4 linked regions of the Saccharomyces cerevisiae S288C genome follow. Changing the gene in region 4 together with the main gene of any one other region gives a genetic interaction. Each region holds a gene or a part of one and is shown on either strand. Other genes may lie near its edges. The genes, in order: DYN3, MMR1, GPP2 and YPT7.

Region 1 (6,106 bases), 600 kb from region 4:
TTGCTGATCGCTGCGGTTGAATACTTCAAGTATGGTACAAGAATTAACTATGAATGGTTCCATTGTACCCCAATCAAAGAACCCCAGTCTGGCTCAGTAATCAAGCTTTGGGCACGTGGTGGGCCAAGTTGTGACAAAAGAGGCGAATATAAAACTATAGTAAAGAGAATCACTAGAGATTATGAACCAAATGATGAACATCTCTCGTTCTGTATCATCGAGAATGATAATGTTCCACCCGTCCACTACCCAATTCACGAAGATAAAGGTGAACCTGGCTACGTAGCTTATGTCGGGTACGACACAGACTCTGAGCTGGTTCAAGAACTATGTGCTGATTCCACAATTTATCACATGTGAATTCTTTCTTTTACATACATAAACATAGAAGAAATCCAACCCTGATATAGGGATTTATAAATGCGTGTGCATATCTATATTTATACATATAAAGAGAAAAAAATTGCTCATGATAAAAGAAGTATCGCCTGCCCACTTTCCTAAATCCTCGAATTTTCCCTATATTTTGCGAACATTTTGCCTAATTCCTCTTGAATATTAACTTTGAAAACTTCTAAAGGATATAGTTTATCAAGGTCGATACCAGAGGTTGTTTTCCTATCTTCTCTGATTTTATCAATTGTTGGTATAAAGTCCATATATCGGGCCAAAAAGTGTTGCTCTTTCACCTCAGTAGGCTCAAATCTTTCGTCTACTGTTTTTATCAATCCAATAGAATCGCACCCCTTCGGTATTAATATCTCACTGCGTTTGACCATTTCAATATGATCTTTCATATCTCTATCTTCACAAAAATGCTTTAGAAGCTCTTGGTATTTAAGCCTTTGTGCTTCCTCTCGTTTCTCTTCGGTATGGTCTTCGCATATATAGAATAGTGAGCTATCATTAAAATAGCAAAACGATCTTAACGTTTGCAAAATGAAGTCAATATGTACTGACTGCCATACTGTAGTGTGTCTTTGTAAGTTTAATATTTCGCCACTGTTTAAGCACCATACAGAAAATTCATTATCGTCATTCAGTTGCTTAATTTTATTGAATGCGTAGGATAGTTCATTCAGCCACAACTTTTGGTCGTTCAGTGTCCAATCTAATAATATGAGCCAGCGAACCTTCGAACTATGTTCTTGTAAAAACGGCTTTAGAAGATCTAGTGCATCGTCAGTGTTTCTTATTAGCGTGTAAACATCGACAGAATAATTTTCCTTTAAGTCGTTGGTCCATCCTATGGTGGCGTAATTAATCAAAGTGGTATCCAGTATTGAATTGCTTCCCTCTGGAAAACAGATATTTATAAATTGATGCAGTGTTTTACTTGATGGGGAATATATGATTGCTGTTATCGTAGCAGTCTCTGTGCTGTTGATTGTGGATTCATTCTGAGACAATAATTTGTCCCAGGCATTACAATTATCCATTAATACATACAATTCTTTTATCTTCTTTTCTTTTTGTACAAGTTGCGGATTACTTCTCTTTGTTTACCTTTTTGCTTTTATTTTTTTTTTTAATACGTGCATATATATATATATATTTAGTTTAGGTCAGAATACAAAGATAATTATGTATAAATGGGCGCATTTGGAAACTATTTTACATACAACTGAACAAGTTCGGAACAATCTATCAATAATCTGCACAATTATATAATCCGATATCGACTTCAGCCTTCATATCTGATGAATTATTTGCGATCGATTCACGTTTTTCTTCCAATTCTTGAATATAACCGTCTTCAACACCAGTGACATAATTTCCGGTAAATACACCATCTTCGAATTTGGTTATTTTATCAGTTTTACAACAATCAATCAAATCTTCCAATGATTGGTAAATGACTCTTTCACAACCGATTACTTCCGCCACTTCTTCATCGGTTCTGTTATAAGCAATCAAGTTCTTTGTGTCTGTTAAGTCAATACCATAAATATGGTTGTAACGAATGGCTGGGGCAGCTGAAGCGAAGTAAACCTTTGTTGCACCGGATTCCTTGGCCATGTTAACAATCTCTTTTGAAGTAGTACCTCTGACAATAGAATCATCCACTATCAGAACCTTCTTACCCTTAAATTCAGACTCCATAGGGTTAAGCTTCCTCCTTACTGAAGAAACCCTTTCCCTCTGGTTTGGCATGATAAATGTCCTGCCCACGTATCTGTTTTTAACAAAGCCCTCTCTATAAGGCTTCCCTAACACATTAGCACATTCTAGTGCACATGTTCTTGCAGTATCTGGGACGGGAATAACAACATCAATATCTTCTGGCTTCAGTTGCTTTAGAATATTTTCCGCTAATTTAGAACCCATAGCCAATCTTGTGTGATAAACTGATATTCCATCCAAGACACTGTCCGGTCTGGCGAAATATACGTATTCAAATAAATCAGGTCTATAAGAGTTAATAGGAACCACTTGTTTGAACTCAGGTTCACCTTTGCTACAGTTCTTAGGGATGATAACTGCCTCGCCAGGCTTTAAGTCACGATATTTAGTAAAGTTGTGAGCTTTGAAAACAACACTTTCTGAAGCTAACATATAGTCCTTAGTGCCGTCCGGATTTTCTCTTTCACCGAACAATAATGGCCTAATACCATTTGGATCTCTGAAACCAAATAATGCAAAACCGGCAAGTAAACCAACGCAAGCATAACCGCCACGGCATAAACGGTAAACACCTTCTAACGCGTGGAAAACATCTTCATTGTTAACTCTGTACTTGTTATGTTTTTCCAGTTCAGCAGCAAAAATATTCAATAGTAACTCCGAATCACTGTCCGTGTTAATATGTCTATGAACGTCTTCATCCATATATCTCTTCAATGATGCAGTATTCACCAAGTTACCGTTATGTGCCAAGTTAATACCGTAAGGACTATTGACGTAAAATGGTTGCGCTTCTGAATTAGCCGAAGACCCGGCTGTAGGATATCTCAAGTGGGCAATACCCATGGAACCAGCAAGACCGGAAACACGTTGTTGGGTAAATACGTCACGAGCCATACCATTACCTTTACATTGGTAGATTCTACCACGAGAACCACAGGTAGCTATACCAGCTGCATCTTGTCCACGATGTTGTAGAAAAATGCATCCATCACATAACTCCGGAGCTACTGGAGTGGTTTGGTTTGCTAATACAATACCTAAAATACCACACATTTTTTCTATTCTGCTGTTTGCTGTACCTCTTTCTTTGCTAAACTTATTAGAACGAAATCTACTACTTTCAAGACGATGTCTTCGCAACTATGACTTAAAAGTGAATAAAATTGTACGGTGGCTGTTGAAATTTTTCTAAAATGAAAAAAAAAAAAACGAAGGACTTTACCTTGACTTAATAATAAGAATCTGAAAAGTACAAACCTATTATTGAAATTGTAAGTAAGCAAACTTTAAATACACCGAAGCTCTGACATTTGCCGCATGAGCAGTCATTCGGATTCATGATCCCAGATTATATTTTATTATTCATGTTCGTTCTAACTCTGTCCTGTTATTTTCGGTCAGGAAGAGTCAATACATCGGGTCATTGAAAAACCGCGGAGAAAGATAATAACTTTTCTTTTTTCCTTAAATCTTGAAAAACTTATACATGTATAAATCAATATTTACTTACGAGCGTTCATAGTTCTTGCTGGTCTTTTAGTTCATTCTCTAAATGATCCAGATCTTCTTGTATGGTCCAAAGTTCGCGGTACAATGACCCTGGCATAGCCAACAGTTCAAGATGCTTACCTTCCTCTCTTACTCTTCCGTTGTCAAGGACTATGATCTTGTCTGCATCTGCAATTGTCCTCAGTCTATGTGCGATGTATACACTCGTTCTCGAACCCGAAGTAAAGTTATCTCTAATGGTTCGTAAGAGAGCTTGTTCTGTGTGTGTGTCCAAGGCGCTTGTGGCCTCGTCAAAAAACATGATCCTTGCATTCTTCAATAGTACCCTTGCAATTGCCAGCCTTTGCTTTTCACCACCGCTGATCATCAACCCTCGCTCCCCGACGATGGTGTCAAAACCTTGTGGTAATTTCTTGATTAAGGGTGCTAGCTGGGCTTTTTCAACTACAGTTATCACTTCCTCGTCGGTTGCGTCAATACGACCGAACTTTACATTTTCCCAGATAGTGTCATTGAAAAGTGGTGTGTCCTGTGGTACCACACCAATCACCTTCCTCAAGGCATCGATGTCATATTCTTTAATATCTCTACCGTTTATGAGGATCCTTCCGCTTTCAGGATCATAAAATCTAAAGACTAATTTTAAAATGGTGGACTTCCCACTGCCCGAAGACCCAACTATTGCGGTTTTCCAGCCTGCTGGGATGGTAAAGCTGGCATTCTTTAAAATTTTCCTATCGGGATGATATCCAAACGTGACGTTCTCAAAAGTAATATCGTAGGGAACATTTTCTGGAAGCATTAAGGGACGTTCGGCATTTTTAATCTTGACTTCATTTTTTCTTAACTTAAATAGCGTTTCCATATCAATCAGAGACTGCTTTAAATCTCTGTAAACACTACCAAGAAAATTTAGCGGTACTGATAGTTGAAAAACCAACTGATTAATTAGAACCAAGTCACCAACTGTCAAGTTGCCACCAATAACGCCGGTGCAACCCATATACATCATTGCAGTTAGGGCAGTAGTAAAAATTAGATTTTGGCCGGAGTTCAAAAATGCTAGAGATTGCGATACTTTAATTTGAGAGTCACGATAGTTCATCAAGGAGCCATTATACTTATCTGCAAGATATTTTTCATTGTTGAAGTATTTTACCGCCTCAAAATTAATTAAAGAATCTAAAGCCACACTGGCAGCTTTGTTATCGGCCTTGTTAGCATCCCTTCTAAAATGTGTCCTCCATGCGGTCGTCTTTATAGTGAAAATGGAGTATAAAAGCATTGTACTGAATGTTATTGCGGCAAATGACGCACCGAATTGATACGTCAAAATCCCACAAACGACAGATATTTCAAAACTTATAGGGATAATGTGGAATACCATGGCCGTTAACACTTGAGATATACCCTTTGTACCTCTATCCATGGCCCTCGTCAGACCACCCGTTTGTCTACTCAAGTGCCATCCCAAATCTAACTTCATAAGGTGCTGGAAAGTTTGTAGCGACACAGTTCTAATGGCATTCTGTGCCACTTTGGCAAATACGGCGTTCCTCAGTTCGCCGAATAAAACAGAGCCGAACCTTGCAACACCATAGCAAAGAATGGTTAATCCAATCGCTGCCGGAAGGGCGACTGTAGGATCATCCCATGCTATATTCATTGAATCAATAGTTTGCTTGAAAAAAAAAGGTACTTGAACATTTAAAATTTTGGCGGATATCAACAGTCCAAGGGCAATCAGTACCCTTATCCTCACTTTATTGTTGCCTTTGGGCCAAATATAGCGAAATAGATCTTTCAAGATTTTCAGTTCCGAGAGGGTTGGGGCCTTGCTGGTCTTTTTTACCTGAGTCTTCACTTTTGGAGCCGACGAGAATTGCTCGACGGATTTTTTGTGCGTAATATCCTTTTGTGCTTGATTCCATAAATTCACAGCTGAATTGAATAACAGAGGCCGCTGGGTTGATAACTTAGACACAGTAAATATAACGGGCGAATGGTTCCGGATTAGACCAGATCTAAATTTTGATCTTACAATTCGCCCAATTACAGGACATCTTGGAAGAAGCAGCATTTGCAGGTTGGAGTGGAATCTATCAACAACGATATACTTACGTTGCTCTGTCGCAATTTTCGAAATTGTACTCTTTGCTGTGCTGATTGCTTTGTTTGCGATTATTAATGTAGAAAGTCATCGGAAAGCCCTCGCGCTCTTTCCCAGTGAAATTTCACGTGATGTAATCTGATGAAGGGCACGTATAGGTCAGTGACCTTTGCTGTGCAAATTGGGTAAGGTAATTTCTTTTAAAGACTTTAAGAATGGTAAAGTGAGGTACAACAACATATTATAAGACTTACTTGGTATGTACCTTACCTTCCTTAGATATTTTTCATGCTGCGTAGAAAATTGCACCATCTCCAATCGTCACTTTTATACATTTTCAAAAGAATATAGATGAGTATA
Region 2 (6,370 bases), on a different chromosome or scaffold from region 4:
TTCGTCTCGTTTCTGCTGATTCTCCCTGGAATATTTACATTACTTTAGATTTTACTATATATATATGCGAATATATGTGTGCAAATATTGATGCACTAGTGTGTACGCGTTTCATCATCAACATGCTCAATTTTCTTCCGTCTTTTTATGATCTCAATATAGTTATACGGAATGTAGCCAATATTGCCGTTCTTTGTCCTCACTTTCCACCAGTCAGAATCCCTCCCAAGAGGGTCTTTCTTACTCAAAATTGCCATCAAGTCGCCCTTTTTTAAAGCAACTTCCATCTCTGGGTTTTCTGGAACAAAATCATATAACGCTCTTGCAAATTCTAACTTCGAAGGATCAATAGGCTCGCTACCATTTCCTTGCGATGCTCGTATGGTTCCAGAGGTCTGTAGTTTAGTAATAAATTTGTTTAGTAGATATGGAAAACCAAATACTGCCATCAAAAAAAATAGTAGCGGTTTCCATGAAATTTTCCTTCTTGTGGCTTTCTCATTAGAATTTATGGTACCACTATCATTAAACTTTTGAAAATCTTCAATTAGTTTATTTTTGCTTCCTTCAGATTCTGCGAAATTCTTTGGTGGTATTCCTAGTCTCCCCTTAGTAGCACGATAGAGTATTTTTTTAAGAAACTTCATTATAGCAAAGATACCAAAAAATGAACCTAGCATTTCCTTCAAATTACCAAACTGTTCTGCGACGGATATCATGGTGAAAAACGAGTTGTGTGTGGCCATATAAGTAGATTCCAGCATTTGTGCAAATCCAGTAACAGCGCCTATCAAACTTTCTATTAACTGAAAGGTGGCCTTCGTCGACTCACCTAGTCCACTTCCATTATTCATTCCATATCCCGCTCCTGCACCGTACCCTCCTCCATAAAACGATCCATAATTGTTGCCATAGTACGATCCTCCATAGCCATACCTCCCTATGCTGTTTCCGTATATAGAGTTCATACTATACGGATTATTATCATAGGGTATCCCATAATTGCTATTACCGTATATTCCCGGTATTGTATTCGATTCGCCGTAGGTACCAGAGGAGTTAAGTGCCGCAGGCCGCGGCAAAACTTCGGGAGCAGACTCACTTGCACTATTACTGTTATTGCTTTCTTCAGTTGGCCTGGAATCCTGCTGATTCGAGGTCATCATCGCACTTAAAGACTGAGCATTACGCTGTGGCTCCTCTAACGAAGCACTGGTCTCCCAAGGTTTAGGTCGTGGTACTGCTGTGGATGACATCGCAGGTATTGTTATAGTATAGAATCCCCTTGATATTTATAGATAGTATATGCACTTTCGAAATTGTTGTTCATTTCCACATGCGTTTGCTCACCAACTATCTGATATAATTAATATTAGTCCGGCGGGCTTCGGAAATAAAAAAAATTTGGCCCGCTGAAAAAGGTGTCATTAATCAGATAAAAGAAGACTTTATTATATCATTTTTTTTGGTAATTAATGTATTTAAGTATAGGTTGAATAAACTTGAATGCAATATATAAATTATGTGTTTGTGATACCAGTCACACCGTGATTGGATTTTCTATTCAGCTTTTAAAAGCGGGGTATTTGCTTAGACGACACTATGAATAAATAGCTGCAGCATTCGACGTTGTAAGAAAAAAGATTAAATCACACGACAAGCCCTTTGAAGTTCAGTAATATTCAAATAAAAATTGTCCAATGAGAAGGATGGATAACGGAGAAATCACGCACATTGCAGATGCGTAACTCGATAGCCTACAATACAAAGCGCCTATCAGCATTGATGTATTGTGAATGTTTGTGTAAAATAAGTTAATTTAATTTGAAGTTGACGCTTCATTTTTCCTTCTTCTCCACTTGGACAGGAAGGTTAAGTTGGAAACCTCTTTTACTTTCCCCACTCTGCACAGATGCTGTTGTGGAAATAGCAGAAGTTGGCTCCTCTTCAAAAGCAACATTTAAATCTTCGCTAGTATTAGCATCCGTATCATCGTTTGTTAGATGATCTTCCTCGGACGAAGTTCCCGAAGAAGAATCTGGCTGTTCTTCAATTTTCTTTAGGTCTAAAACAGAAACGCGTGCCAGTCTAGTCTTAGGGCATGGGATTCTTGCTGAATTTCCTTCAGTTTTTGAAGTGGAGGTGGCCACTACTGCGGAGGATTCAGTCAATTTCTTAAGAACTTTTTTACAATTGAAGAATTTTTTCTCCAGTTGCTTGACTTTTCTCTCAATATCTCTTTGGGATCTTTGAGCCTGTATACTAGGATCCTTCATAACCTCAAGCATAAATCTTTCTTCAATGTATCTGTTCGTCGTCATGGAATGCACTAATTTTTCATTCTGCAACTTTAATTCTGTAATTTCAAGTTCTAGCTGCTTGATCTTTATGTCTAAATTCGATTTTTCACGACTATTTGCCTCCTCTGCATTGGCCATAGAGGCCATTTGCATTGAAATATGTTGTTGTCCGTCACACCATTCGGGCTCATAGTCCGTCGACGTAGACGAGATAAAGCTATATCTGTTGTTGTTGTTATTGCCTTTGAGACCATATTGAACGAACCCGTTATTATCCGTAGGTAAATTGTCTAGATTCAGATCCTTAGGCAATTCGTTCACTTCGGTGCTTAGACACTGAGTGGAGCCGCCGGAGACGACTCTAAGTCCTTTGTCCTCGACCTTTCGCACCCCATGATTTTCTGGATCTTCCAAAGGAGTAGCAGGAACAGGAACGTATGAGGGGAGCAACCCTTCGGCGTTTTTCCGTAATATCGGTTCTTCCGCACAGACTTTGGCCTCAAATGAAGGGGGATTGCGTTCTTTCTTTTGTACTTGCGCAACGGATTCTGAACTGCGCAGCTGCTCTAGTTTGTCCTTGATGCTTTGTTTAATGATGTTTTTCTCTATGTTCAATGGATCAGGGTTTGAATTCTGGCCTTCACTAGTAGTTTTCTTGCTATTCTTCAATAGGGCAGATAGCAATGGCAGATTACTGGTTGTTTGAGATAGGTACTCGGGTTTTAACATCTTTGGAGTGTTGTTCAAAAACTGAAACCTAATAGGCGATACAGACCTCATAGTGTCAGAGCCCCTTCTTTGTTTAGAACGTCCACCTCTTGATAACTCGCTCAATTTAGAGAGTGATGTTGGATATAACAAGGAATTACCAATCGGGCCAGTGTCTAATTTTAGCTTCGTAGGTGAGTTCAATAGATTTTGAAAAGAGCCTGCATTTCTTTGGTCATCCAAACAAAAGGACATTGGTGAGAGTTTTGGAGTAAGTTGTTCCGATTTCATTGTTGGAGAATTCATTTTTTTAGTTGTTTAGTTTATTAGTTGTGTTTTTTTTTTTTGATTTTGCAATGAGTACTGGCTTGTAACAAGTTAAAAGAAAAGAAGATTAGTTAAGAACAACGGAATTGAAACGAAAGTAAAATAGTTGGAACCGAGGATAACTATGTTGATTTAAAAGACTTCACACGCGATTCTTTTTCCTTACTGCTATTTAGGAAGATGTGCCCCTCCAAACCTTTCCTTTATTCCCAAGGCAATCAAAATAACAGAAAATACAGCAGTAATAAAGCTTAATTCTCTAGGCTCACTTAAACTGAGCAACAATTTGTTGATCGTACGTGTTATTTAATACTATCAGGAAAAAATAATCTAAATGTGAGAAAAACTTCTATCTGTAACCACTTTGTCTTGAATGAACGTAGAAAATTTAAAAACGATCAAGCTTGCGTGAGAGAACTTGTAAAGTAAGGAAATCTGATTTCTAAACCCATAATGATTCTTCATCGAGCTTTCTTGCCAATTGGCTAATTAGAACTCTTTTTAGTTTATTTCCCGAAAGGGGTATTTATATTTTGCCCGTTTGGGACAAAATTAACCCTGCTTACACCAGGGTTTATCTAGAAATAAAATAGGTCATTGTTTTGAGATGACTTGGAAAAACTTAACCCTGATGTGACTGTAACATAACATCTAAGAAAAAAGGGACTAAAAGTCAACAGAAGGAGTAGATCGGAAAGTCATTGCATTTATCACTGATAAAGTCATGGCTGTCAAAAAGTAAACATCAGAAGTTCAGTTGCACTTTATGCTTTGGTGAAAATCCGTATAACTTAAAAGAATGCCCATCACTCAAATCATATCAGCGTCTGATAGCGAGGCGGGGCCAAAACCAAGCATTTCGTTGGTACCTGATAAGCCATCTGAGCCAGAAACTTCCCCTAGGCATCATCGCCTTTCAAGGTCACTTTCGAAGTTCAAGCGCTGGAGAGGAAGATCAAATAGCAGTTTATCGATGGGGTCGTCTGAGCAGCAAGAACTGCAGGACAGTCCAAATGAAGCCCGTAGTGATGATGACGAAAACGGTTACAATAACGATAATGCAGATGACTTGGCGAAATCCAAGTATATGATGAAAAGTATTGCCGGTTTATTAACTACTGCTAGTGTGTATGCAGGGATGAATAATGCTCAAGAAATGAATGTGTTGTCGCAAGTTGATTCTGAAGAATCTGATTCCAGTGATAGTTTCCAGGAAAACATTGGTCGAAATGAGGTAAAAAGCAAAAAGGAAAATCTCAAAACTAAATCGCATCCGGAAGTACCAAGATTAGACAAAAGAAAGCCAACTTTATTCGACTTCTCAATAACTAGGGAAAAACTGTCAAAAGACAATGTGGCTAAGTTGAGACAGCGGTTTTGTTTAGACGAACAGGAACCATTTTTGAATGATTTCCCTGCATGGCTACTTAAAGATGTGTTGGTTCAAGGCCATATTTTTATTACAACAAAACATTTCCTATTCTTTGCATATTTACCTAAGAATCCTCGGTCGGTTAAAATGTCTGGAAACCTTAATATCAGGACAAAACTAATTAGGTCTACCAGGTATTGGTGCGTACTAAAGAATCATTTATTTTCTATGTATACCTCATCAACTGAGCTATACTTTCCGGTTTTAACCATAGATTTGAGGGAGGTCCAAAAAATTGAAACACAAAAACATACCTTAAACGGGAGTGCTACGAAAACATTTAAGCTTTACACAGATGAAAGTACATTCAAATTCAATGCAGATTCAGAGTTCTCCGCTAAATCGTGGGTGAACGCTTTGAAAAAGGAGCAGTTCGCAGCTCAGAATTCTGAAAACAATTCGATAAGTTTAAAAATTCCGCTGCCCAACATTATAGAGATAGATGATCAACCTATAGTCAACAAAGCTTTAACATTGAGATTAAGAGCTTTGGAGAGCTCACAGACCTATGCTATCGATGATTTCATGTTTGTTTTCATGGATGGGTCCGGTAGTCAGGTCAAAGAGAGCCTTGGCGAACAGTTGGCTATATTGCAGAAATCCGGTGTTAATACACTTTATTATGATATTCCAGCCAAGAAATCAAAATCAAGTTTTGGAAAAGAGACACCAGCTACAGTTGAGCAAAAGAATAACGGCGAGGATTCAAAATATTTGAATGTTCCAACTTCGGCTGTGCCTTCTTCGGAAAATGGGAAAAAGAGTCGATTCAGATTTAGAGAAAGAAGCAATAGTTGGTTTCGTAGAGCTAAACCTCTTGAAGATTCTCAAGTTGAGGATGTGGAGGAAATATATAAAGATGCGGCGAATGATATAGACTCTTCTGTGCATTCCACGATTCATATTCATGAACAAGAAGATAGTCAAGAGCAAACCGTAGCTTGGAAGCCAAGTCACCTCAAAAATTTTGCCGAAATGTGGGCTGCCAAACCAATACACTACCGGAACAAGTTTATCCCGTTTCAAAAGGATGATACCTATTTGATTAAAGAAACAGAAGAGGTTTCTGCTAACGAGCGGTTCAGGTACCATTTCAAGTTTAATAAAGAGAAGTCACTAATCAGTACTTACTACACATACCTGAATAGAAATGTTCCCGTTTATGGTAAGATTTACGTATCCAATGATACGGTGTGCTTCAGATCGTTATTACCAGGGTCTAATACATACATGGTTTTGCCATTGGTTGATGTGGAGACATGCTATAAAGAAAAGGGATTTCGATTTGGTTATTTTGTATTGGTTATAGTAATTCACGGTCACGAGGAGCTATTTTTTGAATTTAGCACTGAGGTCGCCAGGGATGATATTGAACGCATTCTTTTAAAGCTCTTAGATAACATATATGCAAGCAGTGCAGAAGGATCGAATATATCGAGTGCTTCTCTTGGCGATGTTCAGCATAACCCTGACTCAGCGAAGTTGAAGCTTTTCGAAGATAAAATTAATGCCGAGGGCTTTGAGGTACCGTTAATGATTGATGAGAATCCGCACTATAAAACAAGCATAAAACCAAACAAGAGTTATAAGTTTGGATTATTGA
Region 3 (5,448 bases), on a different chromosome or scaffold from region 4:
TTTGCTAATCATTGAAATGATTGGTTTTAATGGATAAATCTCGACATTCGAATAGATAGCATATAATTCAAAAACGATTATAATGGGATATATATATAAGTTTAATAATATTAACTCCCTTCCCATTTCTTGAAGAGAAGAGATGTGTTAACTCCTCCAAATCCGAAGCTGTTGCATAATGCGTACTTCGGATTAGCTCCCACAATAGGTTTGTCTCTTATGAAATGTAGCTTATCGGCCTCGTTATTTTCTAGAGTCAGAACATTGTCCAGGTTTAAGGTATGCGGCATCTTATCATCCTTCAAGGAACAAATTGTAAATATACTTTCTACGGCGCCAGCTGCACCTAAAAGATGGCCAATTGCACCTTTGTTACTGGATATGTACAGTGGCTTGCTTTTGGATCTTCCTGGTAAGAGTGCTGAGGCTACTGCCAGACACTCTGCTTTATCGCCTAGTAAAGTTGATGTAGCATGTGCATTGACGTAGTCAACATCAGTTGGTTCTAATCTAGCCATTTTTAGAGCCATCTCTATTGCTCTTTTGGCACCATTTCCATCAGCAGGAGGGGAGGTAATATGGCAGGCATCACTGCTTAAACCATAGCCCACGAGCTCAGAAATTATGTTTGCATTTCTCTTTTGAGCATGTTCTAGCGATTCCATGACAATCATTCCGCATCCTTCACCAAGTACGAATCCAGAACGTTGTGTATCAAAGGGTCTAGAGATCCCGTTTGTAGTAATCGACTTTGCTCTGATGAAACCTGCTAAACTTAACGGATGCAAACTCGTTTCACTTGCACCGGCGACACAGATGTCTTGCATGCCTAACCGAATAAAATTGAATGCATCGCCAATGGAGTTATTACCTGTTGCGCATGCTGTGGAAACACTATGGGATAATCCTCTAAGGTTAAACTTGATGGAAACATTACCAGCTGCCATATTTGTAAGGATTTTAGGGACGAAATATGGATTTATTCTTTTATTGTCGTTATGGAATTGTAGAGAAGTTTGGTATATGTCTTGAATGGATCCTATACCAGAACCTATCAGGCAACCAAAGTGATCCAGATTGCACAGAGATGTATTGATGGTTATATCATTTGGGTTCAAGAGACCAGCATTGTGAAGCGCTTCATAAGTTGTACGTAGTGCTAGCTTGATAAAGCTTGAGGTTCTTCTCTCATCCTGGCTAGTGAACAGCAGTTTATTGATGGCTGAATTTTCGTTTTGAAAATTCTCTGGAATCTTCCCCACTGTTATCGTTGATGGGATACTTTTTTCTCTGAGTTTGTAGTCCTCATTATAGTTGGGCAAAGATGTGATTGGTGTGAGTCCATTTTTGGAAGAGAGCAGATTCCCCCATGACTCACTTAATGATCTTCCCAACGGCGTTACACAGCCCAATCCTGTGATAACCACTCTTCTTGACATTTCTTTACTAGAAATTAAATTTTAATCCGTTGTGGCTCCTGTCACTTTCAAGTTGCTAATAACCTGATAACGTTTAAGGATTTTACTTCCTTTTTTATCATTTATTTTTCTGAGATGAGACAGAGTCAGAAATAATAGCACACTATATGTTTTAAAAAAAAAAATCTATCTACGTATTTATTTAATCAATAAGATGTGATTTTATAAATGTGTCGTTTTTTAGCATCATTACTTGTTTTGTGGCGAATATAGAATAGGACTGTATCTGAGAATTATTACTCAAATATGTTCGATTTTAGAGGATTACCATTTCAACAGATCGTCCTTAGCATATAAGTAGTCGTCAAAAATGAATTCAACTTCGTCTGTTTCGGCATTGTAGCCGCCAACTCTGATGGATTCGTGGTTTTTGACAATGATGTCACAGCCTTTTTCCTTTAGGAAGTCCAAGTCGAAAGTAGTGGCAATACCAATGATCTTACAACCGGCGGCTTTTCCGGCGGCAATACCTGCTGGAGCGTCTTCAAATACTACTACCTTAGATTTGGAAGGGTCTTGCTCATTGATCGGATATCCTAAGCCATTCCTGCCCTTCAGATATGGTTCTGGATGAGGCTTACCCTGTTTGACATCATTAGCGGTAATGAAGTACTTTGGTCTCCTGATTCCCAGATGCTCGAACCATTTTTGTGCCATATCACGGGTACCGGAAGTTGCCACAGCCCATTTCTCTTTTGGTAGAGCGTTCAAAGCGTTGCACAGCTTAACTGCACCTGGGACTTCAATGGATTTTTCACCGTACTTGACCGGAATTTCAGCTTCTAATTTGTTAACATACTCTTCATTGGCAAAGTCTGGAGCGAACTTAGCAATGGCATCAAACGTTCTCCAACCATGCGAGACTTGGATAACGTGTTCAGCATCGAAATAAGGTTTGTCCTTACCGAAATCCCTCCAGAATGCAGCAATGGCTGGTTGAGAGATGATAATGGTACCGTCGACGTCGAACAAAGCGGCGTTAACTTTCAAAGATAGAGGTTTAGTAGTCAATCCCATTCCGAATATTGTTTTTATTGTTTTATGTTTTTCCACTGATCTGGTAAACACTAGCTGGTTGGCGCTATTAATATGAAAAGAGTTAGACCAAATTGAGTAGAAAAGAAACCTTTGGCAATCCTAACTATGTTGTTTTAGCTTGTGTATTTAAGCGCATATATATATATTTCTGAAAATGACAACATCAAAAGAAACGAACTTATTTAGAATAAAAAGAAACGACTTGGCTTCTTATTATTCCTACTTTACGTCACGTGGGAGGCCCGTTTAGGGGGGCAGCTATGTAGTTTTTCCGAGCGTACTTTCTTTCAGCATCCGAAAAGTCCTCACTTGACGGCTTACACGGAAACGCCGCGGATTGTGGGGCACAGATGATGACGCAGACGGAACACTGCAGAAATCTTTTTACCTTGTCGTTAAAGACGATATTAGAGAGAAGAGTTTGGCTGGGGACAAAGTGCCAGCTTTTCGTTCAGGGCGAGGTGCCAAAATACTTGAGAAGGCCAAACCCCAAAGGACAGGGCCAAATACGTACGCTACGGTAATATCTAATGGGAGAGGGTATAACATTGACCATTTTCGAAGGAGGCATAGGAATTTAGACGCTGATGGATGTTATCAATATTGAAGTTTTTCACCGTTTCCCTCTTTCTCTGCTCCTTTAAAGAACGCAAAGTCTCCTCTTGAGAGAAAGCAGACGATTGGAATTGGTATCTTTCACGTAGCATTGCTTAACCTACGGCCATATTAATGATATGAAGTCATATGAAAATGGCCGAGGCCAGCGGTTCATTCGAGGATATATATTTTATTACCCGGCGTCTCTAGCCGAAGTAAGAAAACACAATGCAACCAGCGTTGGTGGAAGGGCGTGATAATGCTGAATGGGAGAAGAAAGTTGAATAGTGACTCTTCAAATGTGTCCTTTCAGGATGCGCTACTTTCAGAAGTTACAAAGATATCTGTATATTGAATAGAATTTTTTTCACCACTAGAATTGTTCTTGGAGCCAGCACAAGCACTTACAATGGCAGATTATTCTTCCCTTACTGTTGTTCAATTGAAAGATTTACTGACCAAGAGAAATCTGTCTGTAGGCGGATTGAAGAATGAACTAGTTCAAAGACTGATAAAGGACGATGAAGAATCAAAGGGTGAAAGTGAAGTTTCTCCACAGGAACAAAACCAGGAACAAGGGTCAGAACCTGCGGCGATAGAAGAACCAGCCTCCCAGAACATTACTGAAAAAAAGGAAGTTTCAAGCGAGCCTAAAGAAACAAACGAACCCAAGGAGGAAAATAAGGACGTTCAAAAGCCCTCTGATGGACCTTCTGCTACTGCTTCAGAGAACGAACAAGCTGCTGCTTCCACTGCTGCTCCCGCTTTGTCACCAGAAGAAATTAAGGCCAAAGCATTGGATCTTTTAAATAAGAAACTGCACCGCGCTAACAAATTCGGTCAAGATCAAGCGGATATTGACTCTTTACAAAGACAGATAAATCGTGTGGAGAAGTTTGGTGTTGACTTGAATAGCAAGTTGGCTGAAGAACTGGGCCTTGTCAGTAGGAAAAATGAACCTGAAAGTGGCAATAACGGTAAATTTAAAAATAGAAACAAAAATGCAAACAACCGCTCCAGAGTAAGTAAAAACAGGAGAGGCAACCGCTCTGGTTACAGAAGATAAAGGCTCAAGCCGTTTTGGTGGAGTTTTTCATTCTAGTTTCGGTTCTTTCCCACTTTTTAAACGACCGCAGTTGTTTGTATATGAAGGTGCAAAATTTGTTGCATACGTAAACATGTGTAGATTATTCTAAATAAATCTGTGTTATTAAATCCGAAGAGTCGGCGGTTCACTGTATTACACATACAGTGGCTGTCAACGTTGTAAAGTGCTAGTAGAGAATGAGCGGCGAGATTTACAGACTGAACATTCTTGTACAAGTTACAATGATGATAGAGGAAAAATAAGCTATGATAAATAGTTCATAGTAATGCAGGTGGGGATGATGCAAGCGGGCCTATTTATTTTGAAATAGTACTGAATGGTTTGGAAAAGGTGGAATTTTCAATCTGCAACGATATCGCGCTCAACATCTTTAACCTGTCATCATCGTACGTATTTGGGACTTCAATTGAAGGCAATGTAATGATAGTGCTATCTGCCGATGTGCTTGACCTCGTCACTCGAGGCTCTTCTTTACCGGGAGTGCTTGCATCTTTCGTTGAAGAATGTGCACTCAAGACCTCAGATGTGGAGTGTGGCCTCATTGGATTGGACTGTTTATTACTACAAACCAAGGGATATTGATGGAGTGTCATGTGATAGATAATTTCGTTGATTGGTGCCAAAGATGCATCAAACCCATAATCTTTGACAAGAGATCCCAGTATGAGATTCAGCACTCTCACCTGAATTTTTTCTTGTGATAGGTCAGCGAATAGTTGACGTGTAGCGGGCATAAATAGCCTTTGCGATAGAATAGTCAAAAATTCGATTGATGACAGCCGTTCAGTAAGATATTGCTTAGTAGAAGACGGTAAATGTGAAAAGCTGTTTTCTACCACAAGGGAAATGGAAGCCATTAGTGAATTTTTGCCCAGCGTTTCTAGATTAGCAAAAGAATCCAAATTTCTTTCATCCTTAGACATCTCCAAGCACGTCCTTGAGTTATGTATCTTTGACAGGATGAGTTTTCTCAAGTTGTTGGATATTACAACTTTGCTTTGGCACCCTTTTTTTTTCGTTAAATTTGGTCTAATGAACTTATCTCTTTGAATTTGTTCAGGTAGTGGAATAGCATTATTTACAATTTCAACAATTATTGATTTGGCAATAAAGTCGTATTCTTGTTCACTTTCTAGAGGCTGATCTTCTATATCAAACTTTTGTAATTTTTCATCGCCGCCGTGCGCATACGGTGCCGATGGATCACGAAGAAGAGATGCGTTCTTC
Region 4 (2,949 bases):
AAAAATCCTGATTTATATTCATTTTATTACTGTATTCCTTTTTTCAAGGCGGGAGAAACTTATACCGCCATAGTAAAATAAATAGTGACTAAGGTAGCCAGAACTTCTCATCAACAAATTGCGAAATTAATTTCTCTTAGAAAAGCCATTCATTGGAAAAATGAAATACCGTAAATTTTAATCATCCATTGCAAGATCTTTTATATACTCTGTGCAGTTTTTTCAACTCTAGCCAATTTATCCTGTCGTTGAAATCTAAATCTCTAAGAGCAATTTGAGATTTCGATATACATTCGGAGAAAAATTATTTTTACGCTGACGTTATATTTAAAGTTCGGAACGCATACACATTAAAAATCCTTTTTTCAAAAAACAACAAAAATATTTTAGTATTTTCAAATATTAAAAAAGAAAAATAAATATTTTGTTAGGTAGTCATGTGATTTTTTGTCACGTTTTGTTGAGTTATATTATCTCAAGTGTAGTAAATCGCTTTATTTAACAGTTGTGTTAATTAACTAAGGTTCATAGACAGATTGCACATGGTAATCGAAAGCCTCATATTGAAAGGGCCATCACATCCCTAAATATATTTAGTAGTTTTAAATTATTAATTTTTTTAAGGATACGCTATAAAGGATTACATAATAGAAGATACAATTAAGTAGTACAGCTCAACAGCTACAAGAATTATTTTCTCCATCTAGGCGAATATTGATGGCATCATTATAGTCATCTTCAAAGGCTTCTGTATCAGCTTGATTCTGTTGTAAAGCACTCCTTGCAATTTCTTCAAATGCGGTATCAACGTTTATGGCGTTTTTGGCACTTGTTAAAAACAAAGGAATATCGCCTAATGATTTAGCAAGCTCCTGAGCGGACTTTTCTGATACAATTTTTTTAGATTCTTCGGCATCAATTTTATTTCCCAGTATAACAAATGGAAATGTTTCTGGTGAGTTTACGTTCGCATGCACTAGAAATTCATCTCGCCAAGACTTAATATTCTCAAAGGAACTGGCATTGGTCACATCGTAGACCAAAACGCAACAATCTGCACCTCTATAGAAAGCAACACCCAGTGATTGGAAACGTTCCTGTCCAGCAGTATCCCAAACTTGCATGGTGGCAACTTTATCACCGTCAACTGTCACCTCTTTTGTTAAAAAGTCAGCCCCAATTGTTGCTTTATACTGTTGAGAATACTTATCATTGACATAACGGTGCATCAAGGAGGTCTTCCCAACACCAGAGTCACCTAGGATGATTACTTTCAAAATATTTTTTTTTCTAGAAGACATCACTTAATTTGAATTGATACAGAAGGGGTTTCTATATGGATAAGAAGTGGACTGGATGAGCTTATTCCTCTTATTTTGTTGGTGATTCCCAATGCTGTTCCTCTGTAACGACTGCTTTCAAGATAAAGGTACAGATTAACAAAAGGAACTTCTTCTCTCAGTAGGTCGAAATGCGAAAAGTTAATCCGCGAGATACAAACGTTACCCGTACCGGTGAGTTCTGAGGTTATTCCAATCACTGAAGAATCGTCAGCTATTACAGAGTAAAACAGCTGTCACTCTTTTCGAGTTACGGAGCTGCCCGTATATATATATATATGTAATGATGTTTCTTTCAAACTCTTTATCTCTTATTTTTGGGTAAAAAATTCTATAGAACAAGTGAGAAGAAGGTAAAATATTGCAATGCTCAGTCAATCTTAAACACATTCTTGAAGAACGCTAATGTTGGTTGTGGCAAATGCCACAAGACTACGCTGATCTAAGCACGCCTTCCTGAACTCCATATAATTGCTTAGTTCCTCGGCCAACCTTTCGTGAGCTACAAAAATTTCGCTTCCAAGTTCTTTGAGCATTTTTGAAGAGGCCTTTATCTGAACCGCTAGTCTTTGCTCCGATTGTTCACGCTTCGTTTCAATAAAACCACCAAGTGGAGCACGACTAGAGGTATCTGATGCACTTTTTGGCTTAACCATGTTAGGAAAAGCCTTCCGATAGCTTTTATGTAAAGCTAAAAACTCACCATAATGTTTCCACCAGTTCGGAATTTTTTCAAATAAAATTATCTGAACGAAACTAGATAGTTGGATAGTACATTGTTCCAAGAAACGCACGTTTTCTAGTAGTGCTGCTAGCGATAATTCACTGAACATATTATGATTTGTTATAATCCCCTTAAATGCGCTGGATGCTTCACTATTAATTAATTTTCTACCCATTTCGTTAAGACCCTTATAAGCATCCTCGAAATCATCGGATTTCAAATTAATAAATATTAAGACTTTCCTCAAAATATTCAAGCTTGCCTTAAATGATGAAATCTCATCAAAATTAAAACGTAAAAAGCTTTGTATCATATTAATCTCCTCGGGTTCCATTGTTTTTGGATTTTCTTTTCCTGAGGGTTTCTGGTTTCTTTTAGAAGTGTTTATGCGCATCCAATATAAGATAGAAGCCTCATCAGTGAACAAATTTTCTGGAATTTTTTTCAGGAATAAAAGAACGTTGAAGCAGTTAGTTAATTGGTGAAGTAACGATGTGACATCTGTTTTCCCGATTATTGTTAAATCAGAACGGTTTAAGTGCGATATTTCATCGATATAGGTATTTAATGGCAAAAAGGTGAACGGATTGTCTTTCAGAATTGAGCGTAGTAAGCCTTGAATTGTTTTCATGTTAATAACAGTAGTGGCGAAAGGTTTCTCTGCATTTGAAACGGATGTTATATTTGTTGTCGCATTTAAATTATGATATCGCAAAGAATGAAAATATATTAATCCAAAAAGTGAATCTTTGACACCCCTTTCTCCTATCTTGCTTAGTACCGAGTGATCTTTTGCATAATCAAAACAAGTGAAGAAGGTCGAGTTTTGAACCTTCTCTAATATAAGTCGACGGTCTTTCGTGATGGCGTCAATATTACTTAGTC

Evidence for each region.
Region 1: mutations in YPT7 (region 4) and DYN3 together harm fitness more than expected from each alone (negative genetic interaction), as found in Saccharomyces cerevisiae (3 studies listed by BioGRID).
Region 2: mutations in YPT7 (region 4) and MMR1 together harm fitness more than expected from each alone (negative genetic interaction), as found in Saccharomyces cerevisiae (3 studies listed by BioGRID).
Region 3: mutations in YPT7 (region 4) and GPP2 together harm fitness more than expected from each alone (negative genetic interaction), as found in Saccharomyces cerevisiae (2 studies listed by BioGRID).

What each region holds. Positions count from the first base shown.
Region 1 is NC_001145.3:863,912-870,017, forward strand, and holds DYN3 (dynein light intermediate chain), read right to left. Parts: upstream 1,440-6,106; coding exon 501-1,439; downstream 1-500. Other genes in the region: sphingosine N-acyltransferase subunit LIP1, read left to right, coding at 1-360; ADE4 (amidophosphoribosyltransferase), read right to left, coding at 1,648-3,180; ATP-binding cassette Fe/S cluster precursor transporter ATM1, read right to left, coding at 3,644-5,716. UniProt on the Saccharomyces cerevisiae protein: Component of the cytoplasmic dynein which acts as a motor for the intracellular retrograde motility of vesicles and organelles along microtubules. May play an important role in the proper orientation of the mitotic spindle into the budding daughter cell yeast.
Region 2 is NC_001144.5:532,158-538,527, reverse strand, and holds MMR1 (Mmr1p), read right to left. Parts: upstream 3,315-6,370; coding exon 1,839-3,314; downstream 1-1,838. Other genes in the region: peroxin PEX13, read right to left, coding at 96-1,256; ATG26 (sterol 3-beta-glucosyltransferase), read left to right, coding at 4,135-6,370. UniProt on the Saccharomyces cerevisiae protein: Involved in the guiding of mitochondrial tubules to the bud tip during cell division.
Region 3 is NC_001137.3:278,188-283,635, forward strand, and holds GPP2 (glycerol-1-phosphatase GPP2), read right to left. Parts: upstream 2,496-5,448; coding exon 1,743-2,495; downstream 1-1,742. Other genes in the region: fatty acid synthase CEM1, read right to left, coding at 111-1,439; THO1 (Tho1p), read left to right, coding at 3,523-4,179; VHR2 (Vhr2p), read right to left, coding at 4,518-5,448. UniProt on the Saccharomyces cerevisiae protein: Glycerol-1-phosphate phosphohydrolase involved in glycerol biosynthesis. Plays a role in osmoadaptation.
Region 4 is NC_001145.3:265,526-268,474, reverse strand, and holds YPT7 (Rab family GTPase YPT7), read right to left. Parts: upstream 1,302-2,949; coding exon 675-1,301; downstream 1-674. Other genes in the region: VRL1 (Vrl1p), read right to left, coding at 1,721-2,949. UniProt on the Saccharomyces cerevisiae protein: Ypt/Rab-type GTPases are key regulators of membrane trafficking and intracellular vesicular transport.